Coturnix japonica: one gene and its partners. The protein of the gene in region 5 purifies or fractionates together with the protein of the main gene of each other region. This does not show direct contact. Links are inferred from orthologs where the notes say so. Each region holds a gene or a part of one and is shown on either strand. Other genes may lie near its edges. The genes, in order: CDC45, ATRIP, RAD52, CDK7, RPA2, TOP3A and ATR.

The links.
Region 1: the proteins of RPA2 (region 5) and CDC45 purify together in Homo sapiens (affinity purification with western blotting; 3 studies listed by BioGRID and IntAct, with this or other methods). This does not show direct contact. The link is inferred for Coturnix japonica from reciprocal best matches to the Homo sapiens genes RPA2 and CDC45.
Region 2: the proteins of RPA2 (region 5) and ATRIP purify together in Homo sapiens (affinity purification with western blotting; 5 studies listed by BioGRID, with this or other methods). This does not show direct contact. The link is inferred for Coturnix japonica from reciprocal best matches to the Homo sapiens genes RPA2 and ATRIP.
Region 3: the proteins of RPA2 (region 5) and RAD52 purify together in Homo sapiens (affinity purification with western blotting; 3 studies listed by BioGRID and IntAct, with this or other methods). This does not show direct contact. The link is inferred for Coturnix japonica from reciprocal best matches to the Homo sapiens genes RPA2 and RAD52.
Region 4: the proteins of RPA2 (region 5) and CDK7 purify together in Homo sapiens (affinity purification with mass spectrometry; 3 studies listed by BioGRID and IntAct, with this or other methods). This does not show direct contact. The link is inferred for Coturnix japonica from reciprocal best matches to the Homo sapiens genes RPA2 and CDK7.
Region 6: the proteins of RPA2 (region 5) and TOP3A purify together in Homo sapiens (affinity purification with mass spectrometry; 4 studies listed by BioGRID and IntAct, with this or other methods). This does not show direct contact. The link is inferred for Coturnix japonica from reciprocal best matches to the Homo sapiens genes RPA2 and TOP3A.
Region 7: the proteins of RPA2 (region 5) and ATR purify together in Homo sapiens (affinity purification with western blotting; 3 studies listed by BioGRID, with this or other methods). This does not show direct contact. The link is inferred for Coturnix japonica from reciprocal best matches to the Homo sapiens genes RPA2 and ATR.

Annotation. Positions count from the first base shown.
Region 1 is NC_029530.1:517,913-522,191, forward strand, and holds the start of CDC45 (cell division control protein 45 homolog), read left to right. Parts: upstream 1-1,479; 5' UTR 1,480-1,561; coding exon 1,562-1,612; intron 1,613-2,534; coding exon 2,535-2,594; intron 2,595-2,879; coding exon 2,880-2,972; intron 2,973-3,388; coding exon 3,389-3,526; intron 3,527-4,042; coding exon 4,043-4,186; intron 4,187-4,279. Other genes in the region: UFD1 (ubiquitin recognition factor in ER-associated degradation protein 1), read right to left, coding at 379-411, 722-854, 1,046-1,159. UniProt on the Homo sapiens protein: Required for initiation of chromosomal DNA replication. Core component of CDC45-MCM-GINS (CMG) helicase, the molecular machine that unwinds template DNA during replication, and around which the replisome is built.
Region 2 is NC_029527.1:2,068,318-2,072,380, forward strand, and holds the start of ATRIP (ATR-interacting protein), read right to left. Parts: upstream 2,801-4,063; 5' UTR 2,398-2,800; coding exon 1,792-2,397; intron 1,069-1,791; coding exon 898-1,068; intron 759-897; coding exon 643-758; intron 311-642; coding exon 147-310; intron 1-146. Other genes in the region: protein BTG1-like, read left to right, coding at 2,908-3,025, 3,117-3,466. UniProt on the Homo sapiens protein: Required for checkpoint signaling after DNA damage. Required for ATR expression, possibly by stabilizing the protein.
Region 3 is NC_029516.1:52,087,154-52,090,653, forward strand, and holds part of RAD52 (DNA repair protein RAD52 homolog), read left to right. Parts: intron 1-270; coding exon 271-407; intron 408-1,010; coding exon 1,011-1,091; intron 1,092-1,583; coding exon 1,584-1,829; intron 1,830-2,355; coding exon 2,356-2,417; 3' UTR 2,418-3,500. UniProt on the Homo sapiens protein: Involved in double-stranded break repair. Plays a central role in genetic recombination and DNA repair by promoting the annealing of complementary single-stranded DNA and by stimulation of the RAD51 recombinase.
Region 4 is NC_029547.1:13,177,188-13,181,260, forward strand, and holds the start of CDK7 (cyclin-dependent kinase 7), read right to left. Parts: upstream 2,801-4,073; 5' UTR 2,704-2,800; coding exon 2,644-2,703; intron 2,464-2,643; coding exon 2,404-2,463; intron 1,592-2,403; coding exon 1,558-1,591; intron 869-1,557; coding exon 801-868; intron 52-800; coding exon 1-51. Other genes in the region: MRPS36 (28S ribosomal protein S36, mitochondrial), read right to left, coding at 3,726-3,743. UniProt on the Homo sapiens protein: Serine/threonine kinase involved in cell cycle control and in RNA polymerase II-mediated RNA transcription. Cyclin-dependent kinases (CDKs) are activated by the binding to a cyclin and mediate the progression through the cell cycle.
Region 5 is NC_029538.1:1,359,341-1,363,507, reverse strand, and holds the start of RPA2 (replication protein A 32 kDa subunit), read left to right. Parts: upstream 1-1,367; 5' UTR 1,368-1,479; coding exon 1,480-1,495; intron 1,496-1,582; coding exon 1,583-1,677; intron 1,678-1,865; coding exon 1,866-1,967; intron 1,968-2,100; coding exon 2,101-2,214; intron 2,215-2,647; coding exon 2,648-2,722; intron 2,723-3,064; coding exon 3,065-3,178; intron 3,179-3,492; coding exon 3,493-3,600; intron 3,601-3,778; coding exon 3,779-3,873; intron 3,874-3,987; coding exon 3,988-4,072; 3' UTR 4,073-4,167. Other genes in the region: SMPDL3B (acid sphingomyelinase-like phosphodiesterase 3b), read right to left, coding at 1-15, 949-1,220. UniProt on the Homo sapiens protein: As part of the heterotrimeric replication protein A complex (RPA/RP-A), binds and stabilizes single-stranded DNA intermediates that form during DNA replication or upon DNA stress.
Region 6 is NC_029529.1:5,110,334-5,113,833, reverse strand, and holds part of TOP3A (DNA topoisomerase 3-alpha), read left to right. Parts: intron 1-229; coding exon 230-338; intron 339-641; coding exon 642-785; intron 786-1,114; coding exon 1,115-1,285; intron 1,286-1,508; coding exon 1,509-1,609; intron 1,610-1,747; coding exon 1,748-1,822; intron 1,823-1,928; coding exon 1,929-2,011; intron 2,012-2,120; coding exon 2,121-2,328; intron 2,329-2,470; coding exon 2,471-2,656; intron 2,657-3,122; coding exon 3,123-3,252; intron 3,253-3,500. UniProt on the Homo sapiens protein: Releases the supercoiling and torsional tension of DNA introduced during the DNA replication and transcription by transiently cleaving and rejoining one strand of the DNA duplex.
Region 7 is NC_029524.1:8,876,009-8,879,508, forward strand, and holds part of ATR (serine/threonine-protein kinase ATR), read right to left. Parts: intron 2,954-3,500; coding exon 2,801-2,953; intron 2,676-2,800; coding exon 2,477-2,675; intron 1,872-2,476; coding exon 1,612-1,871; intron 1,232-1,611; coding exon 1,041-1,231; intron 968-1,040; coding exon 867-967; intron 565-866; coding exon 393-564; intron 1-392. UniProt on the Homo sapiens protein: Serine/threonine protein kinase which activates checkpoint signaling upon genotoxic stresses such as ionizing radiation (IR), ultraviolet light (UV), or DNA replication stalling, thereby acting as a DNA damage sensor.

The DNA of each region.
Region 1 (4,279 bases), on a different chromosome or scaffold from region 5:
TTATTTCAGCTTCTCAAAACTACAAACCCAGGAGGGAATGGAGATCCAGAAGCACTGAACTGCCTTTGTACTTGGGGCTTTAATGCCTCCATTTACACGGGGACTGGGGATTAGCAATCACATCACCCTGAGCTCAGAGATGAGCCAGCACTGGGTATTATTTCAGTACAGGAATTTATTATTGTTGGTCCTGCTGCCAACCCAACTGCTCACCGACACAAAACCCCACAGCTACGCTTTCTAATGACCTTATCTCATATCCTTTATTTGATCGGGCCCAAACAGACACCCAACGTGCCGTGCTGTGTGGTGCCGTGTTTGTACTTCTGCTCTTAGTCTTTCCTAACGCTGTTACGCCAGAAGAAAACATGCACTTACTGAGCTGATCCAAAGCAGACGGCGGCATAATTACTGCAGGTAGGAAACAGAGAGTAACATCAGGACAGTCAGGGCCGTGCAGACAGAACGGAGCTCAATTCCGCCGGCACCGCGACCACGTTCGTTCTAAGAACTCGCACAGATTCGTTTCACAGTAGGAAACCGCGGGGGATCAGTCACAGCTCAACGGGCCGTCGGGGCGAACCCGAACCAGCACCAAGGCCCGGCCGGTCCCGCCCCATCCCCCGTCCCGGCCCCGCTCGTTCCCCGCCCGGTTCCGCCCCATCAGCTCCGCACCCCGCTCAGCTCAACCCGCCCCGAGTCAAAGAAAACAGACACATACTCTTCCCTCCTTTCTCCACATCTGACCTGTCATTGGGCCCGGCCAACATGGACACGGAGAAACAGCGGTACTGAGTGGAGAAACGGTTCTGGAACACGCGGGGGATGGGATGGTCGAACATGTTGAACGAGAACTGCGGGACAAACAGCCGCGTCAGCACGGCCCGTGTGCGGCCCTGACTGAGCGACACAGCCGGGCGGCGTCATTACGGCCTTATTAATTACGGCCTTATTAATTACGGCGTTATCACGGCGTTATTACGGTGTTATCACGGTGTTATCGCGGCCCTGTCCGCCCCGTTCCCGCCCCGTTCCCGCCGCTCACCATGTTGGCCGCCCGCCTCAGCTCCCTCAGCCGCTCCCGGTGCTGACGCCGGACGCGGCCGCTGCGCTGCCGGACGCCGCTGATCCGCCCCCGGCTCCGCCCCCCGGCCGCCATGTTGGATGAGGGCAGGATGCCGCCGGTGAGGCCGTGCCGTTGTAGCCGTTGCTATGGCGGTTTGTGAGCGCTCAGCCCGCCGGTACCGAACGGAGCCGCCCCGGCCCGTGCCGGAACAAGGCGCGTCTGCGGGCAGAACGAACAAACTGCCCTCGACAAAGATGGCGGCAACGGCAACTGAGCCCGGCGCGGCACTTCCGGCCCGCTGCCATTGGCCTGCCTCGCCGTCGCGTCTCCCTTGCACAGATCTCATTGGCGAACACCCGATGGCGGCTCGCCCAATCCGCGCTGCGAATTAGCGACGGCCGCTTTTCCAGTGGCCAATGGGAAGCGGCGCTGCTTTGGCGCCCACTTTGAGCGGCGCGGCCATCGGCGCCGTTCCCTCAGCGCTGCGCTGCCGCCATGTTCGTCACCGACTGCCGCCAGCAGTTCTACGATGTGATCGTCAGCCAGGTGCGGCAAGGCCGGGACGGGCCGGCTCCGGGAGCGACCGGCTCCGTCAGCGCCGGGACCGAGGCGGCTGCTCCGCTCCCGAGGGGCCGTGGGGGGAACGGGCCGCGCTGTGTGTAAGGCCGGGGAGGGTTGTGTGCTCTGCAGGCCGTGCTTTGTGGTGCTCCGGTCTGCCGCGTTCCTGCTGCTCTTTTGTTTAGCAGAGGCAGCTCTAGATTTGCCTTTAAAAAAAAAATAAAAAAAAGATTAACCTTTTTAAAATCTCTTGTTAACCACCGCAGTGTTGCACGCCCAGACGCTGGATCTCGTACTCTCTTTAGTTTACCCTCAGTCCCGCTTTCCTCTTAGCCTGGTTTTGCCCCTCGGCGATCCGCGTCCTGAAGCGGGAAAGCTTCCCTTCCCTTCCCCTCCCTTCCCTGGGGCGCTGCGCTGCGTTCTGCCCGTGTTACTTCCACAGTCCGTGCGATGGAAAGTGTTTGAACCTTAAAACAAAAGCTGAGCTACCTGGACATGGTCTATACCAGGCGCTGCCTCGGTCCTGTTTTTGCTCCAGGCTTTCTTAGTTCGAGGCCGTTCAGATGCTGTACTAGAGCTGTGCCTGTTTGAGGCGCACACAGCGGCTGTGGAGCTGCCCGGCCCTGACCCGGTGCCGCAGCGCAGGACGCCGGGTGCTGTGATTGCACGGGCACTTTTGGGCTGTGATTTCACCGCTTTAAGCGGGGCTGCTCGTTGTTCACACTTACCGGGATCCAAATGGTTTATTTTGCTGCAGTGCCTGTTTAGATCCAGTCCTGTTCCGTGCTTATAGTGATCTCTGCTTCAATTCCTCCCTTTCTCATCCCACGGTCACTCATTTTGTGTACTAGCTCACTAGATCTGTCCCCTTTGTTAATATGTCAATACTGTTACTCTATTATTTCTGCAGAGGGTTCTTCTTCTTGTGGCCTCAGACGTTGATGCGTTGTGTGCTTGTAAAATACTCCAGGTAAGTGTTTGTTACCTCTGCGGGCCAACTCAAAAAAAGTCACTGGGATTCTTTGAATGGGTTTGAACTCAGAAAAGGGGAAAAGTTGAAACTGATTCTGTGAAACGTTTTCTCCGTGAGTCCCAGTGTGGACACGCTGTAAGCCGTGCTGCCACAGCCGCTGTCAGCTTGTCAGTTTGGCCATCTTCAAGATAAAGATGGGTATGAAATGGAGTTGTAGTGCAGTGCAGTGATGCAGAAGGGATTGTTTGGCGCTGTAGCTGACAGCTGTTTGCTTCATTTCAGGCTTTATTTCAATGTGATCACGTGCAATATACACTAGTCCCTGTGTCTGGATGGCAAGAACTTGAAACTGCCTTTCTTGAGCATAAAGATCAGGTAAAAAGAGAAGCTGCAGCTCATTGTGTATAGAAATTTATTTCTGTCCTTTCCCCAATTTAAAATGGCAGCTCTTCATGTAATTATATTATTTCTTACCTCAACACGGCGGTTAAGTTTTAATATTCTGCTTCCAAATTTGTTGAGGTATTTTTTGTGATATATGTTTTTTAATATCAGCTCATTTCTGATCAGTTCAACCTGAGCTCGCACAATTTTGGGATGTGGAAGGTGGTGGGACTGGATGTCCAATGTCTGAACTTAAACATGGTCTGTTGTCTTGCACGTTTTTTCCTTCTTAGGGTCATGTTGGTTTTGGCAGCAGTGAGTGCTCTGTGCTCTTGTAGAGGTCTTTGTAGTCTTCCATGTTTCCCACTAATTAAAATGAAAAATGTTTGTTTTGGTTCTGTTTGCAGTTCAAACACTTTGTTTTTATTAACTGTGGTGCTAATGTGGACCTGCTGGAGATCTTGCAGCCTGAAGAAGACACTTATTTTTTTGTGTGCGACAGCCACAGACCCATCAATGTAGTGAATGTTTACAATGAGACACAGGTGAGCTGAGCTTTTCCTTCAGCTTGTGTTGTAACAGACTGTGTGTTCTGTGGGCTGGGGGTGCCTCAGTGCTATTCTGTGTTTGGCAGAACTGCTTGCAGTCAGGAAATGACCGTTACTGATGCAGATATCCAGTAATACTGGCAGAGCAAAAAAACTGCTGTTTTGAGCTCCTAAAACATACACTGTTAGTGCTGTGATGGCTGTCTGGAGAGTTCTCTTCCTGCAGCTCACACTGGTACAAATCAGAAGATAAGCGGAGTACGGTGTGTAACAGCCTCAAGTTCTTTCATGCCGTGCTCTAACTATGATTTCATTGTGGAAAACGAATGCAGTTTCTACTCTTAGGCTGGATAAATAAGCGCGGTCTTCATATAAACACAACTACTGCTTCTTAACACTGGGGTGGATAACAGCCAAAATGAGTTTTGGGTTTCTCTTTTGAAGTATCTGAAGCTTTCACATTTGTTGTTTGAAAGGATGCTTTGCTGAAAAATGTGCCTTTATTCTCGTTAGATTAAACTGTTAGTTAAACAAGACGACGATCTCGATGTTCCTGCTTATGATGATATCTTCAGAGATGAAGAGGACGAAGAAGAGGACTCAGAGAATGACAGCGATGGCTCAGAACCGTCAGATAAACGCAGGCGTTTTGAAGAGGTTTGTTTCTGGTGCTTCATTTTCTAAGTTAGGAAAATAAGCCAGACATAAGAAGTCCTTGGAGCAGATTAATTAACAGCAATAACATATTGG
Region 2 (4,063 bases), on a different chromosome or scaffold from region 5:
AATGTAAGCAATGTCATACCGAAAGAACCACCCTTGTTCCTGCCCTGACCTTACTGGAACTGCTGGGTCACACTGGGCCAAAACCTGAATCTAAGGCAGAATGTTCACAAGCAGCTAAAAATACTGCAAGTTGTGTTCATGTTTACCTTCCTTGCTGGAAACTGTCTGTGCAAACCAGTTTCCTGAAGAAGAAGAAGAGGGTCTGGCAGCAGTTTCAGCATTGAAAGACTCTTTTGTAGGAAAAGACCTTTTTCCAGGCTGCGGAGGACACCCTTCTGATTTCATCTGGATTGCAACGTTCTTTTTAGGGCTACAAAAAATAAACGAAAACAACAAGATACCAACAAATTCCCCTCCAGCTCCAATGAACCAATGTCTGTTTTGGGAGCATTTTATTAAAGATCTATTTCTATTTTATTACAGATCTATTTAATAGCTTTCTTGGTACTGATGTTAAAGAGGTACTTCACTCTACATCCCCTGCATTTCTGTCCCAGCATCTGTTTAGGTCAAAAGAATGGTTTTGGTTGTATTTTCTCAAGGAAATGGACCTAAGAGTCACACAGAGACAGGAAACATCTGTCCTAATTCAAGTGTGAACAAAAAGAAACACAGGTTATTTCCCCAAACCCCCATACACACCTTTGTGGCACAACCGTCTGAGTGACGTGCTTATTTCTTTCACAGTTCTGAAGTCGCGTTCTTAATTCATTCATTTCTGCATCTTTGAACTGCAACTCTGACTGCAGTGACAGTAACTGGAAGAATTAAGGAGATGGTTTTACTGTTACAGAATAGGCAAGTGTTAATCCAACTGCAAAGCAAATGTCTGTAAGATCTCAAGGTTGCAGGCTTCTTTCTGTGTGTTGTGTTGAGGTGACTGACTGAGCTACAAACCTTTTTGGAGAACTCTCTTTCTTTTTCACCAAGGGCCTGAGATTGCTGCTGTTCCAACAGCACGTACGACCTCTTCTGCTCCTCCATCTCACGCTCCATCTGCTGCATCCAGTCACGCAGAACTTTGATTTCTCCATTTTTAGTAAGAATTTCATCCTGCATTTCTTTCAGCTGCAAAGAGATGAATTCCATTAAGCAGCACATTCAGCATTTAGTATCTGTATTGCTCTCTATGTGGTCAAAGATGGAGTGTGTTGCTACAGCTCAGTTTAGATATCCCACAGTCTGGCTTCTATTTCTTTTCCTTATTAAATCAGGCTCCGTGACATTCTCTAATAGAATTACAGTGTTTTGGTGTCTGACGGTGGGCTTTTCTGCACTGCTTCCATCCCTTTTTTGAGGGAGATGGTTTCCAGCTACAGGAGGGGGGATTTAGAATGGACATAAAGTTATTGCAGTGATGGTGGTTAGGCACTGGCACAGGTTACCCAGAGAGGTGGTGGTGCCTCATCCCTGCAGACACCCAGCGGGCTGTGAGCACCGATAGAGCTGTGATGTCCCTGCACACTGCAGAAGGTTGGAGGGCCTTAAAGTAAAGGCCTTAAAGGGCCTTTAAGGTGATGATGGTGTGGTCTAAGCGGTGCCTTTCCACAAGGCTCAGTGACCCCATCCCCTTAAATGCTCTTCTTTCAAACCATGAAGGACACAGCGCTGCTCCGGGTTTGACAGGACAGATGAAAGCCGACAGATGAGCACCCGCTGCTGGGCAATGGTGGCACCACACCCCGCAAACTCATTGTGCCGTTCCCACTCAGAGCCTTTCCCAGCGCGGATCCCGACCCTCCCGGCCCAGCACCGCGGCCGATCCCCCCTTATATTCCCATGTGCTCTGACCTTCCTCCGTGTATCGTCGTGCTGTGCCCGCAGCACCTGCAGCTGGAAGGGCGCTGTGAGCTGAGCGCTGTGCGGGGCCGGGCCCGGCGCGGTGACACCCGGACACAGCGGCTCACACAGCGCCTGGGAAGCGATGGTGTCGATCTCCTCCAGATCGTCCGCCGTGAAGTCGTCGTTGTCCCCGAAAGGATCTTCCTCCGCCCCGCTCCCCGGCGGCCCCTTGTGCCGTTTGCTGGGCGGGATCCCGTTCCGCAGCGCACTGTCCGCAGCGGGTCCCGCCGCCCGGCCCGGCCCGCACATGTCGGTACCGCTGCGCTTCCGCGGAACGAACGGCAGCTGCAACGACATGGCGGCAGCACCGCTACGCCGCGCGACGGACGGGAACCCGCGCGACGAACCGTGGCCAATCAGCGGCGAGAGCTCCTCCTGCCCGGCCAATGGCAGACCGCACCTAAGGCGGCCCCCGAGGGTCAAGCGCCGCCGCCATTGGTCGCCGCGTGACGCGCTGTGAGCAGCTCGCTGATTGGATGGGCAGGGCGGTGGGATGAGTGACGTCACACCGACGTAGTGACGCCACGCTGACGTAGTGACGTCACACCGCGCCATGCCGTGCGGCAATACTCGATATACGGAAATACTACGTCACTTGTTGCCGCTGCTCCGTGACGTTCCCCAGCTGTGAGCTCCCGTAACGCCGCACTAACATGGACGCACAGCCCTGACGGGGACAGCTCGGAGCCTGGATAGTGTTGGTGTGATTCCGGTTCCCAATAGCAGCAGCAGTCGGGCGGCCGCTCAAGGCCCCAAGCTGTCACCATGGTTACACACCCCGTCCCGTTACTCCGTGTCACCGCGCCGCTCAGCAGCAAAACAAACACGGCCCGTCTCCTGCGCCGCCCAATGGCCGCTCGCGGTGTCCCGTAAGCCCCGCCCCTCGCCCATCTCGACCAATGGGGATCCTGTTCTGCCGTCGCAGGGGGGCGCGGGGCGGGACGCGTCATTGTGACGTGTCGCTGCGCGACGCCGCCATTGGCCGGAGCGTTGTCCCGGGCGGAGCGGTGCGGTGCGGTAGCGGCGGGCCGGGCCGGAACGGCGACGAGCGGCAGCCGAGCGGCCATGAGAACCGAGATCTCGACGGCCGCGGCGTTCGTCACCCGGCTCCTGCGGGCCGCCGGCGGGATCGGTGACGAGCAGCTGCGGTGCTTCAGGGAGCGCCTGCAGGAGGCGCTGCGCGGTGAGCGGGGGGACACGGCCCGGCCCGAGCCCGCGGCGCACGGACGGGCTGTAACGCTGACACTAACGCCGCTCTTTGTTCCCTCCCGTAGAACACTACAGGCACCACTGGTTCCCCACGGCGCCCACCAAAGGCTCCGGGTATCGGTGCATTAGGATCAACCACCAGATGGACCCGCTGATCGGCAAAGCGGCGGCGACCATCGGACTGAGCCACGAGAGACTGTTCCAGCTCTTGCCCAACGAATTGACTCTTTGGGTCGACCCTTTCGAGGTGTCGTATCGGATAGGAGAGGACGGCTCCATCTGCGTCCTCTATGAGAATCCACAGCCCGGGGCCAAGGCGAGTAAACCCCTGGAGAGCAGGAACAGCTGTAAGAAGTGGAGAACTGGCCGGTCCAGCCCGTCCGAGAGTTACAACATGATGACTGTTTCTAGTTAGAAGCTGCTGTTTCTTGTACAGCTATTGTACGTATCCCAGTTGTGTGATAAACTCCATTGTAACCGAGGTCTCTCGATTGGTGTTTTTTTTAACGAGTAGTTAATGGTAGTTTCACCCTGTGGCATTCGGGTTGTATCGTACTGCCAATGCTGTGTGGCCAAGGGCTAAAGCGGGTCTTGGATCCGCGTGTTCCTCTGGACCATGTACTGTAAATGCACTGTACAGACGGCTGATTGTTTTACACATTTCTATTTTCGAGGCGATTCTGGTATTTGTAATAAAAAGCCACGTTGTAGCGACTCATGGTGGATTTGTAGTCCAGATGAACACTTTGTTTTTGAAATAAAACAACAAAACCAAACTCCATTTGCAAGCAATAACACAAAGGGGATTAACACAGAAGCCAGGAGCTGCACATCGATCTCCACTGACTTGTCTGCACAGACTTTTCTCAGGGTCATTCCAGTTTGGCTGCAGGGCACAAATCACTCAAGTATTTTTTACCTTTTTCAAGGCACGTGTTCATTTGGAGCCGCGTTTCATCACGCCCCAATGTTCTGACAGGGGTTGGGGGATTTGTCTATCTTCTTTCTAGTT
Region 3 (3,500 bases), on a different chromosome or scaffold from region 5:
AAGCCCTTCAAAAGCTTTGTTGCCCTTCTTTGAACCTGCTCCAGCACCTCCATGCCCTTTCTGTGCTGAGGTGCCCAAAACTGAGCACAGTACTTGAGGAAGTTAGAAGTTACCGTCCCCTTCGAAGCATGTGAACAGTCCAAATTGAAAGATGCCATACAGTATTGGTTTAGAGGACTTTTCTTGCAGTTATTATATATTAGTATGAATGTTTCGTCAAAAAATAGAGTTACTGAACTCCTGTTTTGTCTTTACCCGGGGTTGGGGCAGAAATACCGATTCCCCAGCTGTTGAATTTGATGCCACGTACCAGCGGAAACTGCGACAAAAGCAGCTGCAGCAACAGTTCCGGGAACAGATGGAGAAGAGACGTCAGGCTGCAGAAGTTACTCCCAGCAGCAAACAGGGTAAGATGGGCCATTAGAAGCTGACAGTTTTAATGGTAGCTGCTGGCAGACAAGTGTTACTCTCAGTATGGGAGCCTGATCAGTTTCTTTTGTTTTATACTGTGCTATTAAACTCCTTTGAGACGGAAGAAAGGAAGATCCTCACACTCCTGTCCCTACATTCTTAAAGCGGCTCTAAAACCACATCACTAAAACTGCAGCTTTCCAACCATGCCAAAGCTTTGTGCAGTGCAGCCACTGTCACCTGTACCATTACTGTGCTGCATCAGAGCTGAGGCTGCAGTGCTTCACTGAAGTGGCTGCAGGCAAGCAGACGTTGCATGAGCTGCTGGTAGGTTACTTTTCACTTGTGGGAAGTCTGGACAGATATGTGGTAAGCAGGAACATGGGGATGGGGTAAAAGCATTGATAGTATTGCAGTTGCTCTCACTAGTCATCAGCAGCATCCATACTATTGTATATACTGCTTCCAAAATCTAAGCAGCTGTGGGAAAAGGGGGTACCTGGGAGCAATCACTTCAGACTCATGGTCTGTCTGCTAAGCAGGAACAGAAGAGTTCTGTATTTCAGACTTTAATCTCTTCTTGTGTTACCTCTGTACAGCAACAGCCAATCCTCCCGTAAAACACAGCACTCCGGCAGCAGCACAACAGGAGCTGGCAATCGAAGAAGAGTTCTTTGCAGGTCAGCCAAGAGTAAAGAACAGCAGCATATTGAATCGTTGGTATTTAGATTAATTCTTCAACGTGTAATGGTAGAAGTTGTGAAGAGGTTGGAGTACAAGTGGGAGTCTGACCTTAGCAGTACTAACCTTGCTTGAATGGCAGGAAAACAATGTTAGAACATGCAATAGATGAGATGTCCATCAGTATGTGAAGTGTTACCCTATGCTGTTCAGTAGAGCACCGGTAGACATATTTGGCAATTTCTTCTTTTCTGGTGACACTTCACAAAAACAGAACATGGGTGGGGAGGGAAAGTGCCTTTTCTTAACACAGCTCCAGCTATTTGGGTCACACAGCGCAGCGCATGGACCTTGCTGAAGTTCATTTTCTGCTTTTGCACTGACATAAAAGATACCTTACAGTTTAACTCCTATAGTGGCCACCACTGTAGGAAAAGTGTGGGCTGGTCCTGGAGTTCCTCTTGGTTCCATCATCTTTTCATCTGTTCTAGATGATCTTGAACTTTGGGACATTTCCTTGGAGACAACCGACCTTAACAAGTTGATGTGTCACAAAGCAGCAGGCCCAGCAGCGGCACAGCAGCCCCCTGAGACGCCCCGCGGATGTCACCAGATGACAACTCGTAACAGGACGCCTCAGAGAACGCATCATCACAAACCTTCTGCCAGGTTTGCACAGTTGCAGCCATCTGCTGCTCTCGCGAGCAACAGCTACGGTGCCAACCAACACACACCAGGTATGCGCTGTGATAAATGACTGAGTTCTTTCTCAACAGCGGCTCTTGGCTTGGAAAGCTTTGCTGTCAGATTAGTAATCTGGAGTGGGGAGAAACATCCCTTTTTTTGTGTGGAGTGCTGTGATAGCGGGACAGGACAACTCTTTCCATCCAACTGTCTTCTCAGGGAAGAGCTAAAAAATAAATCAATGAGTACTTTTAGAAGCAAATCACAGAATGGCCCAGGTTGGAAGGGACCTCAAGGATCATGAATCTCCATCCCACCCTGCTGCAGGCAGGGCTGCCAACCTCCACATTTAATACTAGACCAGGCTGCCCAGGGCCCCATCCAACCTGGCCTTGAACACCTCCAGGGATGGGGCATCCACAAGCTCTCTGGGCAGCTGTTCCAGCACTTCAACACTCTCACAGTAAAGAACTTCCCTCCTTCAACTTAAAACTGTTTCCTCTTGTCTTGCTGTTATCCACTCTTCCAAAGAAAAGCTTTAAGGAACTTCCCTTTCTCACTCTCTGTCTCCCTGTGCAGCAGAGCGCAGCCCTCACAGGAGAAGTCAAAGCTGGAAGAAACGGAGGCTGGAACCTACATAGGACACACAGCGGCATCATTACCTACATGCTGGATTACATCATAAGACTGCAGTTGGCTGCTCAAAGTACGTGAGGAAGCTGCATCTATTAATAGATTGTCCTGAAGCAACACAGAATAGCCAGAGAGGCACAGCCAGCAAGAACTGTGTGTGCTTTGGGGTTATTATAATGTCCAGACTTTTTTTTTTCTATAAACACACAATCATTTGTGCCCCTGCACAACCCGTGGCTGTTTTGCTAAGAATTTGCCTGAAAATTATAGCATAAGTAAACCTTCCAACGAGATGCCACAGCTGCTTTCCTGCTCAGCGTCGCATTTTGGCATGCAGAAAAGTTTTCCCCAATAAAAAGAGGACAGGGTGGGCTCCAGGCCCAGGAAAGCAACCAACTGCTGTGTCCCATTCCCTCAGGCTGTTTGCAGCTGTGGCAGCCTCTGCCTCTCACATGCAGCCCAGCTGCCTGCCCAGAGGCTGCACAAGGAGGGGCAGAGCATCGCCCTGACACAGCTCTGCCTCAGCTCACCCCTCAAGCCCACACAGCACCAGGGCGGGAACACAAAGGGACTGCTACCGAGGAGTACATACAGCATCTAAGCACTTGTTTGGACCCTTTATGAAATGAATGAGAGCCCCTTTTTTTACCTGTAGTGTTTTAAATAAGCTTTTACTCCTTTTTAACACAAGAATAAACACTAAATTTGGACAGGCAAACCACTTGTTATTTCTACCTTCTTCCTATTCACTTCCACAAGCTCAGAGCAAAGCAACAGCTATTCCTCGTAGTAATAAACTCAAAGGAAGACCTTCCAAGCCGCGTTTAGGCAGTACCAGCTTGAAAGGCCCTGCTCTGGTGAGGCAACAGTTCTGCTGGGCAGCTGTTGGATCTCTCCCTCTCCTGGTGAAGGGGCTCAGCTTTGCAGCCCCTGCTGCCTCAGGCAGGTGCTGGGCACCACCAGCAGAGCGGTGGCAGCGCCCTCTGTGCCTGAAGCAGCTTGAGCCATGCAGGGCTCGAGAGGGGAAGTTGGTTCTGTGTTACGCAGCAGCAGCAGCAGGATGGTGCAGCATGGCTGGAAGGGGGAGCTGA
Region 4 (4,073 bases), on a different chromosome or scaffold from region 5:
AAAATCAAATACTAAGCTAATATTAGATTTGTGTCCAAATGCATCTAACAGCTGTAAAACAAAATGTGCTATGATGAATGACACTCTCATAATTCCCGTTTCCTAAAATTCCATTCTACTTTAGTTTGCATGTGCATTTTCAATTTACTGGCAGAGACAAACAGGCACAGGGCTACTCACTGCCTAGACCTCATCATCAAGAGGAACCCTAATCCACCTGCTCACACCTCACACAGGTGGAATCCCTGCCACCCTCCCCAGGCAGCAGCAGGCTCAGGCACTCCCTGCAGCCAGAGAACAGCTACATTTCTGGGCAGGCCCTCTGTCTGGGTTGCCAAAATCTTTCTGGAATAAACCTGCTTTCTGATAGAGAACATGTTTAGGCCTGCAGTCCCAGAGACTTTCCAAGAGGAAAGCTAGTCTCCTGAGCACAGACTGACAACATTTACATTCATCACCACTTGATCCACATCCACAGCACTGTATGGGCAGTGTGGGCTGTGCTCACTCACTGAACCTCCCCATTCTCAGTGGGCAGCAACAATGGTTACTCACCTGGTAGCTCACCCTAGGATACTTTAAGCTTGTTATCAGGTGCAAACAATAAGGACTAGAGTTTAAACTGTGCCGCTAATGTGCCAGCTCCACCCTTGCTGACTCAGGAGCCAACCCACAAGCTGGCAGCTCCCCAGTACAAGCGCAGCCTTTTTTACTTCAGATCCCTTGTTCCAGATCCCTTTCCCAGTGCAGTTTTACCTTCTCTGAAGCCAGTCTCTGCAGCAAAAATTCACTGTACTTACACCAATAACATTCGGGTGGCTTAGTTCCTGTAACAATTTTATTTCTCTCAGCGCTGTTCTGTTGATTCCTATATTGAAAAAAATAATTAAACAGAATATAATTAATAATTTCAAGTTAAACTCCAGCAAAGAAACCTCTTATTCTGTTGTTCATTGATTACTTAATATTACAGTCCTTTTCCTCAGCACTCATGTATTTGTTAAAGCCAAGCAGACTGTCACAAATACATAGACTGCTGCAGGCAAGGTATGAATAACAACTAGAAGATATAGATTATGAAGGAAAATACACATCCCTTTGGCTTACTGGCAAGCAAACACTACTGCATTATGTTGTGCAAGATGTTTTGCCTACGCATGAGCTGAAAAACAGTGTTATTTCCATGGTGGTTTCATTCAACATATAAGATTCCAGCGAAGATTTAGATGCAAAGATCTTGATGGCTTAGTTGATACTCTGCCTATTTTAATTCCTTCTTTAGAAAAAAAAAAGAGACAACGTCCGCTTTCATGTGGACATATTTTTTATATTCAGAAAAAAAAGTATGCAAGCCAATATCATTATTCCATGCTATACTTGTGATTGGGTTCCACCTAAACAGTCATATACGCACAGTTAAACATACAGTATGAGAATGCTGTATTTCGGATGTTATTTTTTCTGTCCCTCTAGGTTGGGAAGGAATCAATCACCCAATCAGCAGAAGCAAAACAAACAAAGACAGCTTATACAGCATGAACTTGTTTTAACACTTACCATCTTTAGCTTCTGATCGATGTCCCAGTTTAATCTGAAAATAAGTGCCTCATATTATATAAGGTCAAGTCACAATCCCCAACAGTTTAGTTGTTTAATTAAAAAAAAAAAGATTAAAATAAGTTCATTAAAATACATTAACAATTCTGAATATCTTACAAGGGCTGCTCTGCAAGTAATGCCTCCTATGTTAGTGGTCTATGATGTCAGAGGCGGATGCTAGCATGGCAGTAAGAGGCTGAACCTTCCCATTACATGGTGTTGTTATCTGACAAAAGGGCAGCGGGGGGTACTCTGACAAAACGACATCTGACATGGATGCACAGAGGAAGCAAAAGTGTGTTGCTGAATTTCTCCATGCAGAAAAATGGCACCTAATAACATTCATAGAAGCTTGCTGAACATTTATGGAGATCAAACAGTAAGTGTGAGCAAAGTGAGGGAGCAGGTGATGAATTTCAGCTCAGGTGACAGCAACAGCAAGTCATCCCCACTCATACAGATTTATGGCAACACAGCACGCAGGCTTTAGCTCATTGCTAGTGAAAATGTCTAATTAACGGTGGTGTCTATGCTGAAAAATAGTTCTTGGTAACTTAGAGTGTGCTCTATCTGCTATAGTTTCCACAGAAGTAAAATGGAGGCACTGTTTTCAGTCCAGCACAATTCCACCTCTCCCAGCGTAGCACAGGACATTAAGGCTGGATACCCATGGACTACATGATCTTCTTTTCCAATGTACCAATCCTGTGAATTCTCACACACTACACACGACAGCAGTTCAACAGAAGCACCGTGCAGGACAAGGCTCCCAGTGACACCACAGCGGGGTGTTCCAACACTCACCTTTTTGATAGCAACGATCTGACCCGTGTTCTTGTCCTTTGCCTTATACACAGTAGCAAACTAAAGGGAGAGAGAGAAAGAGACGCGTGACCACGGCGGCAGGGCAGCCCACAGCCCAGAGCCAGAGTCACTACGGTGGGTGAGCGGGAGGGCGATCGGCCCGGCCAGCCACGCTCCCTCCCGCACCCAGCCGCCCCTCAGAGGGCCCCGGCGGCCACACCGCACCCACCGGCCGCTCACCTGTCCCTCCCCTAAGAAGTCTAGTTTCTCATAGCGCTTAGCACGAGCCCGCGCATCCATGGCTGCCAGCTGGGAAAAGCAGCACAGCCCTAAGGCCGGAGAACGAGGCACAACGGAAGAGCAGCACGGCCCTTTATCGGCGCCCGCCTCCAGACCCGCCTACCTGCACCATGAGCGCGCAGCCTGATGCCGTCAGCTCGGAGGCGGGTACTAGGAGGGCTGCGGCCCGGCACACGCTGTGCGATGCTGCTCGTGCCCTGATGGCTGTGTGTGATTAGCTCCGGAGCGGGCAGCTGCCCCACAGAGCTCATTAAGGAGGTTAAACCATGTCCTGGCTGAGTCTGTGATCATGAGGAACGGGGGCCTGACAAAAAGCAGAGTGGGGATCCTGAACTTCAGGAGAATTAACTTATTTAAAAGCAGCTTATTATAAACAGGACATCGTAGGACTTTTTATATAGTCTGATGATGACAGGACACAGAGAAATGGTTCTAAACTAAAAGAGGCGATATTCAGATCAGATGGTAGGGGAAAACTATCAACTCGTGTTGGGGGTTGGAAGGAGTCAAAGAACTGGAAGAGTTTGTCTGAAGAAGGTGTAAATGCCCCCATCCCTGGATGTATTCAAGGCCAGACTAGCTGGAGCCATGGGCAGCCTAATCTAATGGGTGTCAGCCCTGCCCTCAGCATGGGGCTGGAAATAGATGGTTTTTAAGGTTCCATCCAAATCAAGCCATTCTGGAGTCTCTGAGTGTGTCTATCTTGCCCATGAAATCAGCCATGAAAAGACCTGTTAACAAGGAAAATAAAGCAACTCAATTTGTTCTACTGCCAAATTCATAGAATGGCTAGTTAGAAAAATACTCTAATGATGTAGCCATCATTTGCTATTAGTCATCAACAGAAAATCTCTCATCACCAATTAATAGTGCTGTGTCAACCTTTACACCTTCACATAGGGTTTTTATTAAAGCTATCAGTATACCATTATTTATAATATTAAGGAAAAGCTTTTATGATGAACACAATACTTCTTTCTTCAACAGTGGTGATATCTGTTGGTGGCAAATATCTTCCGTACTTATTCTGGACCTCCACGCTGTAAAGCAAAAAATAGACAGAGTTAACTATTTTCCTCTAAAAGAAAGGGAAATTGATATCCAGTCTTCTTTTGCAGTTATAGATTAATAAACAAGTCCTAGATTTAACTTCATTTTTACGCTTTGATTTTTAATCTGTAATGGAACATGCTACATGTCAGAAAAATCATTGCCTGTCATTAATAGCTTATTGTGCCTGATGGAATAATATAAACAATATAAAAACCTCTGCAACCTATATTTGCAGCTGCTCCCTATCCTCTCAGTTGGAAGAAACATGACACTTAGTGACTCTGGAAAGATGAGACAAACAGCCGTAGTAGTAGCTT
Region 5 (4,167 bases):
TGAGGAGTATCATCCCTGGAACAGCAGATAGAACATAGACGTTACTTGTGACTATCAAGGCACGTGGGCAGAGCAAGGCACTGAACGTGCACCTGAGCCTTGTTTTCTTCCTTATCTCATAGGAGATAAAGTCAAGGTCTTTGGGGTAGGAACTTGCACTGTGCACATGGGCTGAAGCAGAGAAGCAGGAGGAAATGGCTCCAAGTGGAAAGCTGCTCCGTTTGGTTCTACTTTATATGTGGGCACTAGAAGCAGGTTTATCCCATTTCAGCACATTTATCCCATTCCAACGTGTTTAATAGATGCTACAGCTGAGTGGGGCATCACGCAAGAGAATATAATGCAACCTGGGGTCAGAACTGGATAACAGCAGGGAAGCAAAAGCTGCCTGCGTTCAATAGAATGAAACAGAATTGAAAAGGAACCCAATGAATGCTCCAAGTAAGGTGAGGATTTAACATGGCTACAGCCCATGGCAATAGACAGGAGGCATTTAACAGCTAAAGCCCACGGCAATAGATAGGGGGCATTTAACACAGCTAAAGCTGAGTCTATGGTAATAGACAGGAGGCATTTGACACAGCTACAGCCCATAGCAATAGATAGGGGGCATTTAATACAGCTAAAGCTGAGTCCATGGTAATAGATAGGAGGCATTTAATGCAGCTAAAGCCTATGGCAATGGATAGGGGGCATTTAACACAGCTAAAGCCCACAGCAATAGATAGAAGGCATTTAACACAGCTACAGCCCATAGTAATAGATAGGGGGCATTTAACACAGCTAAAGCTGAGTCCATGTAACAGACAGGAGGCATTTAATACATCTAAAGCCCACGGCAATGGATAGGGGGCATTTAACACAGCTACAGCCCATAGCAATAGATAGGGGCCATCACTTTGGGACTCAGCCCGCAGGGACTCAATACAATCGGTGCTGTTTCCTCACCCCGTCCATAGCACAAAGTCCGGCCGTGCCCGCAGCCGTTTCATGGCGCTCACAGCGGAGCTGAGCAGCGCCCAGGGCGCATCACATTCGTAGCTGCCCCACGGTCCCCCCGGTCCGGATCCCCCCGACGGGCAGCGCTGCCCGGCCGACAGCGCCTCCTCGTAACCGGGATCCCAGTGTAGGTCCGTCAGGTGCCAGAATGTCCCCGCCATCACCGCCGGCTGCAGCAGCACCAGCAGCGCGGCCGCCCGCACCGTCACCGCCTCCATCATTGAACCTTCACCTGCACGGCCCGCCCCGTCGGGGCACAGAGCCGGGCAGCGCCAGCAACCAACATGGCGGCGTCGGCATCAGCACCGCCGGAAGAAGGAGGGATGTGATTGGATCTTAGCGCTGGAAGAAAGAGAGAGGTGATTGGATCTCGCTATCGGAAGCTGGCGGAAGACGGAGGGCTGTGATTGGCTCCTGGTAGCGGGGCGCGGGACGCGGTGCTGGAGGAGCGGGTGGCTCCGCAGTCGGTGCTGAGGCGCCATGTGGGGCGGACACGGTGCGGGACGGGCGGGTGTGGGGGGATGTGGGGTGTGGGGTGTGAGATGGGTCTGCGCAGCTCACGGCTCCGATCATCCCTTCACAGGTAACTTCGATGGCGGTTACGGCCCCGCGGGGGGATACACGCAGTCACCGGGAGGATTCAGTTCACCAGCGGGCGGGCAGGCCGAGAAGAAGCAGGTAGGGCTGGGCTATGGGGCTGGGCTATGGGGCTGGTTATGGGGCTGGGCTATGGGGCTGGGCTATGGGGCTGTGGGGCTGGGTTGTGGGGCTGTGGGGCCGGGCTGTGGGGCTGTGGGGGCCGGGCTGTGGGGCCCGGGCTGTGGGGCTGTGGGGCCCATCACGTCCCCCTTCACCCCCCCCCACAGCGCAGCCGCTCGCAGAGCATCGTGCCCTGCACCGTGTCGCAGCTGCTGGCAGCCGAGCAGGTGGACGAGGCGTTCCGTATCCATGACGTGGAGATCTCGCAGGTGGGCACCCCCTATAGTCCCACACCCCCGTATAGTCCCACACCCCCTATAACCCCACACCCCTCTCCCATTAAGCTGGTTCTGATGGGCCGCTGGTGTCTCACCCCGCCCCCTGACCGCCCTCCCCCCGCAGGTCACCGTGGTGGGCATCGTTCGACACGCAGAGAAGGCGCCCACCAACATCCTGTACAAGGTGGATGACATGACAGCGGCACCCATGGACGTGAGGCAGTGGGTTGACACCGATGTAAGCAATGGAACCGTCCTGAGGTGCTGCTATGGGGGTAAAACAGTGTGTGAGCTGCATCAATGGATGTCCCTGTTAGAGCCAGGCTGGGTGCTGCGGTAACAGTGATCAGTTGGCAGTGAATGTGGCTGGAGATGAACAGCTGCACTGAGCTGAACAACTGGAAGTAATTAAAGAGATTCTCAGTTGGTTTATCTACAGGTTTGCCATAAGATCCTGTGACTGCTCCCAGAATGCACAGCTGGCACTGATTGCTGTCAAGCCGACAGTGCATCCAAATAAGGATTTCCCATCTGTAGCTACATTTACCTGACTGCTTGTACTGATTGAATGGGTGTCGTTTGTGTTTGATTGAGATAGCAGTCCTAAAGTTGTTTAGTATGATAACTGAGAGATGGATCAGCAGCTCTTTGCTTTCTCCTTTCTCTGTAAGGAGGCAGGTAGTGAGAATATCGTGGTGCCCCCAGGAACTTACGTCAAAGTTGCTGGTCATCTTCGGTCTTTTCAGGTAAGGTCATGTGCGACTCCACAACAAACAAGGCTGGGGCAGCAGCATAAAGGGTTGGTGATGTGGCAGAGCAGGAACAATAATCACAGCATGTTATATAGGAGTCAACTCATAGCAGTCATCCTTGAGATCATGCTGTATGTGTTAAAGCAAAGAGCAATTGCCAGCTGGATCAAAACTTGCCCAGACATGGGCATTTAAGTTGAAAACCTTTGCTAACTAAAGGCAGATGGACTCCCCACCCGCTGCTGCTCCTGTTCCTAACTAGAGTGCTTAAGTTCTATGGCAACCATGTTCCTGTTGCTCCCCTGTTAATGGTATTTGCTGTCTTTTCTCTGGAAGAACAAGAAGAGTTTGGTGGCGTTTAAGATCATGCCTCTGGAAAACATGAACGAGGTCACCACGCACATACTTGAGACTGTTAATGCGCATATGATCCTCAGGAAGAACCTTATGGTGTGTAGTTGAAGGTCATGGTTCCATTACAGCTGTTACTGGTGATCTAAAGGGAGGGACCTCTGGGTTCAGTGGGAAACTGTGCAAGTTGTGGGTCTGGAAAGGCTGAAGGGCTGCAATGGGGTGTGATGAGAGTCTTGATTTCCATTGAGAGACATTCTCATTGCGGCCAGTTTTACTTGGTTTCTGTTGGAAATCTATCTTTAATTATTATGCCTCTGAAAGAAGGCTAAGTCCTTCATGTCCTTCATGCCTTGGGTTTGCAGCAGCCTGTGCACAACAGTTCTTTTATTCAATTACTCTTGTAATTGCAGTCAGCATCAAGAGCACCTCAGTCGTTTACCTCTGTTGGAATGAGTGACGTGGGGGCCTATGGTGGAGGCAGCCTGCCTGTCAATGGACTCACAGCACATCAGAGTCAGGTGGGTGCCAGCACCTTCTCCAGAGCACAGCTGACACAGTGGGTGCTGCTGCTTTGTGTTGTAGGACCAAGAAATAAAAGCTCAGTTATTCTTGGAAGGCTGATAATCCTTTTTTGGCCCCGCTGTTCAGTGCTGATAGAGCTGAGCTGTGTGCTGATGATGGTTCACGTTCTTCCAGGTGCTGAACCTGATTAAAAACTGCCATTCTCCAGACGGGATGAGTCTCCAAGAGCTGAAACTTCAGCTCCACAATGTCAGCATACCAACAATCAAGTAAGTGTGTAGAAGCTGATGTTTTTGGGGGCGTCAGGTCCCACGTAGGTGGGAAATGGTTGAGAGGAAGGCATTGATGTGAGCCAGGTACTAATGGACTTCTTTCCTTCCAAGGCAAGCAGTTGAATTCCTTAGCAGCGAGGGACACATCTACTCTACTGTGGATGATGATCACTATAAGTCTACGGATGCTGACTGAAGCTCTTTCCACCTGGATTTGCTCCCAGCCAAGTGCTTCTCGGTGTCTCGAATTAACCTGCTGAGCTTTGCAACTTGGAAGGTGATGTTTGCTTT
Region 6 (3,500 bases), on a different chromosome or scaffold from region 5:
TGTGGTACAATCCAACCCAAGCAGTGCTTTTTAACAGAGAGTAAATAAATGATTCATTTCTTTTGAAAGCTGTCTAATCTCCCGAGAGTTACCATTGCAAAATGTTATTGCAACAATTCATTGCTATGGATACATGTTGCATTTCGTGTTCAGTTAGTGAGTCATTCTAAAACTAAATGTCAGACCAAGTGGCTTGAGTAGGTCTCATTCAGAGTTTTTTCTGTCTCAGAGAACCCTTGAACGAGAGGTCCAGCAATGCCAAGCTCTGGTCATCTGGACTGACTGCGATCGAGAAGGAGAGAACATCGGTTTTGAGATCATTCATGTCTGCAAAGCTGGTGTGTAGAGCATCTGTTGCATCAATCTGTTTTCCATTAAAATGATGATTTAACAGGTATCACTGCTCAGATCTAGTAACAGATATCATCCTTACTCAGTTGTCATTCTTACATGTCCAGGTCAAATCTTCTGGCTGTAGTTACGATAAATACATGGCTCTGATACACCAGAAATACATTAATACATTGGAAAGATACAAAATATGTTGACAGCACACACTTTTAAAGACAGCAGCAGTATATTAGTTCATGCTTTCCATTGCTGTATGAGTCATTCTGGTTATTATTTTTTTTGTCTGATAGTAAAGCCAAACCTCCAGGTATTCCGAGCACGTTTTTCAGAGATTACACTTCATGCTGTCAGAAGGGCCTGTGAGAATCTCACCCAACCAGATCAAAAAACTAGTGATGCTGTTGAAGTCAGGCAGGAGCTGGACCTCAGGATAGGTAAGTAAACATGCTTTGGAGATGAGAGCTGGTTGCTAGGCCTGAGCTGCTGCATATACCCTTGAAAGCAAGTGAGCAAGAGTGTGGTAAAAAGGCAGGGGACAGACAGCTTACAGTCTGTCATCAACATGTAGCTTATTTTCTATAAACACTTGAACTCTTAGATTGCTTTAGAAACTAGACAGCTAGCTATCAGACTTCCTCACTTCTCAGTGTATGGGAAATTGGTAATCACAGCCTGAACCTATGATTAATCAGCTGATGCTGATTAATTAATTAATTAATTAATGCTGAACTATTCAGTTCTAGCATCCATTTTGTTTTCTCAGGTGCTGCTTTCACCAGATTCCAGACCCTGAGGCTCCGGAAGATTTTCCCTGAGGTTTTAGCAGATCAGCTGATCAGTTACGGCAGTTGCCAGTTCCCAACTCTGGGGTTCGTAGTTGAGCGCTTTAAAGCCATCCAGGCCTTTGTCCCTGAAGCCTTCTATAAAATCAAAGGTATGCTGGAGGAAAACAAGCGCAGTAATCCATTTTAAAGGGTTTAATGTATTTGGAGAGGAAAAACTTCAGGGCAACTAACAAACAATGCTGCAGAAGTGATTTCCCTTGCCATTATCATTAAGCAGAAAGTGGAAAGGTTTCCTAGTAGCATGGTCCCATTGCCTCTGCTGGTTTTCAACTATATTACTACTGTATAACTCTGATCTGGTTTTCAACACAGTGACACATGATCACGAAGATGGCAATGTGGTCTTCAACTGGAAGAGGAACCGGCTCTTTAATCACACAGCGTGCCTGGTTCTTTACCACATGTGTATGGAGGTAGGAAAACTTGTAAAAAAAGACGTATGATCTAATATCAGCCAAACATGTCCTGCATCCTTCTTGTTCAAGATGTTTAAAGAACTGTCTGTGTGAAATCTTCGAGGAAATCTTGTATTTTGATTACTCTCTATTTAGGATCCTGTTGCCACTGTTGTTGAGGTTGGAAGCAAGCCAAAGAGCAAATGGAGACCCCTGCCCCTGGACACTGTGGTATGTTAGAACTATATATTATAAGATTAATTAAAATAAGCTTTAAACAGTTATTTTACTCAGAATAGTTCACAAATACATTTTTTTCTGTCTCTTCCCAACACAGGAACTTGAAAAGTTGGCTTCCCGTAAACTGAAAATAAATGCAAAGGAAACCATGAGAATAGCAGAAAAACTCTATACTCAAGGGTAAGGAAACAAGCTTTGTCTTGGTAAACTTAATTATTTCAAAAATATGTGACTGTTAGTCCAAATCATCCTCAAGCACCTCTTGAAGTTCCCTTCTGTCTTTCTTAAGGTTTATTAGCTATCCCCGAACAGAGACCAACATTTTCCCCAAGGAGCTGAACCTCTCTGCCTTAATACAACAACAAACACAGGACCCCAACTGGGGAGCATTTGCACAGAGGATCTTGGATCAGGGTGGGCCGAACCCTCGGAATGGAACCAAATCAGACCAGGCTCACCCTCCCATTCACCCCACAAAATACACCGCTAACCTGCAGGTAAGTTTAGTATTGCTTGATAAAATAAAGACAGAAATACTATAATATAGTTGTTAGCACAGTATCCGCACCTGAGATTCACTAATATTTCTTAATATCTTGCTAATACTAGAAGAGAGTAACTCTTACTGTTTGATAACAGGGCAACGAACAGAGACTATATGAATTCATTGTGCGCCATTTTTTGGCTTGCTGCTCTCAAGATGCCAAGGGACAGGAAACAACTGTGGAGATTGACATTGCTAACGAGCGATTCATTGCTCAAGGACTTATGATCCTGGCCCGAAATTATCTGGAGGTTTATCCTTATGAGAAGTGGAGTGACAAGGTAACATCCTTGAACAGTGTAGATGGGACTGCCTAAAATACCTGGACTTTAAAACTGCAGATGGGTTGTACTAATGGGAAAGCTTCCCTGCCACTTTCAGGCCCATCTAGAGAATGTCCTTTGACAATTCTTAACACACTGGCTATTTCACTTAGAACTCTCTCTGCTGAACACTAGTGCCACTTAATTATGCCAGCTTTGGATAGATTCTTCCCTTTCTGACACCGCAGCAGAGACCATACAGGGCTGCTTCCACGTGGGGAGGGATACTCACCAAGATGAGCTGCAGTTGCTGTTGTGTGGTGTCTCTGGCAGGTTTTTACTGGCTAATCCTGAGCATCCCAAGACTCAGTCTCCTCCAGAACAGAGTGCTGCTATATTACTGCACCAACTTGCTGGTAGTGTGACAGCTGTTTTCAGTGGATGGTCCAGAAGACAGTTTCAAAGAGATTCTCCTTCCCTTCAGGTTATCCCACTGTATCAGAAAGGGTCTCGCTTTCAGCCCACTACAGTGGAGATGGTGGATGGGGAAACCAGCCCTCCATTGCTCCTCACGGAAGCGGATCTCATTGCACTCATGGAGAAACATGGCATTGGTCAGTATTGGCAGTGTGGCCTTTCACTCTTGAGAGAGCTTTGCTCATAAGCATCTCCTCAACTTCCCTAGTACTAGTTCTTTCCAGCCCACAGAGTAGGGGATTCTCAGAACATCACTTCAGATGAGAAGTCACTTAAATATACAGAGCAGAGAGATAGTAGAAACCTGTGGGCAGCATCCAGTGAAACTAACAAGACTGTACTGTCTCTCCATTACCCAAGGGGATGTGAAGTTTAGGGTCCAGGG
Region 7 (3,500 bases), on a different chromosome or scaffold from region 5:
AAGCAGAATTTCTGCCTTTAGGAAATGCTAACCGTGGCATGATTATGCCTGTAATAAAGTTTGACTTAAATTCCTAGTTTACATTCTAGCCTCCAATGACAATGGTACCATATAATGCAAGAACATATACAGGTCCTCTATGTCAGCATTAAGGCACCTAGGGAATAGAAGTGAAAATCAGTGCTGAGAAGGGAGAAGACTAATGACAAGATCAAATACTTTCCACTTTTTCCATAAAGTGTTGTTTTTTTTTAAACTTTAAATAATCTCTTTCCTACCCTAAGAGATTTCATCTTGTAAAATAAAGTAATATTTATCTTCAGTAACATTTTCAAAACACAGAACAAAAACTTGAATCAACGTCTTTATAAGTCACCAACTCTTATTTTTACCTGACAGATAGGTTTCTTGTACTGACTGAAAAAAGCTTGTAGTTTTATGGACTTAGCTGCTGCCAGGGACCGAATTTCTGTGTATGCTGCTCCAGCCACAGAGGCTGACTTGGACAACAAACAATGCAACAAGTGCAGGAGGGCAAATGGTATCAAATCTCCTTTTGATGCCCTTAAAAAGCAAGCAAATAAAAAGTAACTAGAACAAAAAAGTCATTGCACGAACAAAATGTCTTAACAATAGGTAATCACCATAATGCTAAACAACTCTTCATCGCATATCAATAGCTAGACTGTACCTGCCATAGTACCACTAAAACAGAATGCTGTAAATTTTATGTGCTTCAGAAGCTTACTACAGTTGCAAAGGACTTTGGACAAAGGCTGATCTCCAAGTAAGTGAACTTAACAAAAAGTTACCCATCTCACAAACTGAGAGTACTTAGCGTTTATCACTGTATTGTCAAAAATTACCTTCCAATATCTCCTGTTGTGAGAATCAAGGTATCTTTAAGCTCATTATTCCTTGATATTTTGGCATGTGTATATGCTTCTTTCATTCTTGAAACAAAGAGCTAAATCACATAAAAACAAAACACATTAGTAAACGAAGTAGAGAAAAACAACAAAAAGTAAATATGAATTCACCTCTTTTATGAATCCTTCTTCAGAATCTAAGGATTCTAATATGTTCTTTATGCAGTCACTGAAAGCCACTCGTACATCTTTGTCTGGATCTTCCATTAAATTTAATAAAGACCCGATGAGAACCTTCACACTTGACTCATCACTGTTAAAATCCAGATGTTTGCAAAGGTGAGGTATGTTTTCTATAAATGCTATGGAGGAAAGAAAAAGATACTTTTTAATTAGTTTATCTTTTAATTTATTTTTTTAAATAAAACAATGATAGAAATAAGCACTGAAGCACACACTTATTTCTGAAAAGAGTAAATATTGAGAAATTAAAAAAGTTATTCAAAATTTAGATTTTATCAAGTATTACTTTCCTGGGTGTTGCCACAAATTAAAATTAACCACAGCAGTTTAAAAGGATTATCATAACTTCTAAAATTGTCACTGATTTCAACTGAAATACAACATTTCAAGCAGCAGCTTAGCTACAAAAAAAGAAACCAATGACAAAACAAAACCACCTACCCAAAGCAATATATATTAAAAAAGGAATGTACAGAAACGTAGTAAAATAAAATCTTACCTAGTTTTACCAAACTGGATACTTTGTTCTCAAGAAGAATAAGAAATGGCTTAAAAACAGAGGCTTGCACAGAAGAAGTTTTTTCATGAGCAGAAGGCACAATAAGGCTGTTACACAAAATATCGCAGGTAACATGCTTTATAGCAGAGCCTGCTAAAGGAGGCTGTATACTGAATGTACCAGAAAGGCAGCAAGATAATTTCCCAATAGTAGCAGCACAAGCCTCCTTGACTAGATCAGACTCATCTTGAATTTGATTTCTGAAATTGACATAAAAACAAAAACATTTTAATAAATTAAGCAATCTATTAAACACTAAAATTTACATATCTACATTGTCTGGTTTCTCTAACTAAATTGTCCTGCTGTTTTCTCAATATTAGGATCTGCTTTACTAGATAATAGCTTTCCTTTTCAACTAAGGTCAAGCTTATCTGAAATGTCTGAAGCCATACTGGCCCATAATGTGCTTGGAACATTATAAATCAACTAAAGACCATAGACAGTAGAACAGAAGAGGGCAAAAAACAGATACAGAAGGAAGAAAAACTGGAAAGATTTTTAAAAGATATATGTACAAATACATATTTTACTGACAAAGACATTTCTCTTCATAAGTTTTTATTTATTGTTTAGAAATAAGGCCTTCAAGAAGCAAAGAAACTTGTATACTGATCTGGTATGTAAATGCTAGCCTATCTTCATGTATACACATTCTGTTGATATCTCTTATGAGTTCTAAAATCTAAGTCTACTAAATTCTGCATGAAATACAAACAAACATTTATTTCAATCTTTATAATTAATTCCTTATACATGCAGTTTTCTTCATGCATGAAAGATAAAAGATAATATTAACACATACAAAAGAGCCTTTGGAATCATACTGAAAGACTGCACACTTGGTGGATGAAGCAGGAAAGAGAATCCTTTAACACATGTAGCCCGAACTACTTCATAGGGACTTTGTAGTGCCCAATAGTAAATGGATTTTCTCCAATCCAGATGAATGTTTCTTGGGAAGAGAGATAGAAGGAACACACAGCGTGACTGAGTTTGAGGTGCTGAAGAAAAAAAACAAAAACATTACTTATTGTCCACTATGAATATTGATTCTGACAAGGCAAAGAAAGCAATTTCACCATAGCACAATCATTTCTGAGAGACTTACATAATTTAACATACTTACAAAAACTTTGTGCAGTTTTTCGACTCAAAACTAGAGGATCAGTTCCAAAAGCATATGTTTTAAAAGAAGAATCATCAGGATGGCTGCAAATCCAGGGTAGAGACAGCAATCCACATATATCATCAAGAATCTGATCATTCAGTGGAATTTTTACTAGTGAAAGGGTTTAAAGAAAAAAAAAAAAAGACATATTTCATGTAAGCTAACTAAGATGCTTCTTATGTTTTTTTCCCTATCAACAAATAATAGCATTGATACCCCCAAATGTTGACATTCTACATATCAAAAGATATCAAAATAATATAAAAGCCTCATGAAACAGCAGCAAGTAATACACGAGCAGGAGAATACACATAACCTTGGTATCTCTGGATTTGCATAAAGGCTTTCAGATGGACTTCAGAATGGCTAGTAAACTGAACTCACAATGCCACTTGAATCTCAGAAAACTGCCTCTTTTCCATACTCCTAGCTTCTCCAAAAAACACACAAGACAACTGACCACCCTACATGAATTCCTCATGTTTTTGTTACACTGCTAGCATGCCAAGTTTCAACTGAAGTAATCAGAAGCTTTGAAATTTTTGAGTGAAACAAAGATAGTTCAGCACTCCACTTCTGCGTGTTTAAGAAAATCAATTTTTGAATGAAGGTTACTTTGTTACACATATTCACTTTCTCCACGTAGTCTCTTGTTGAG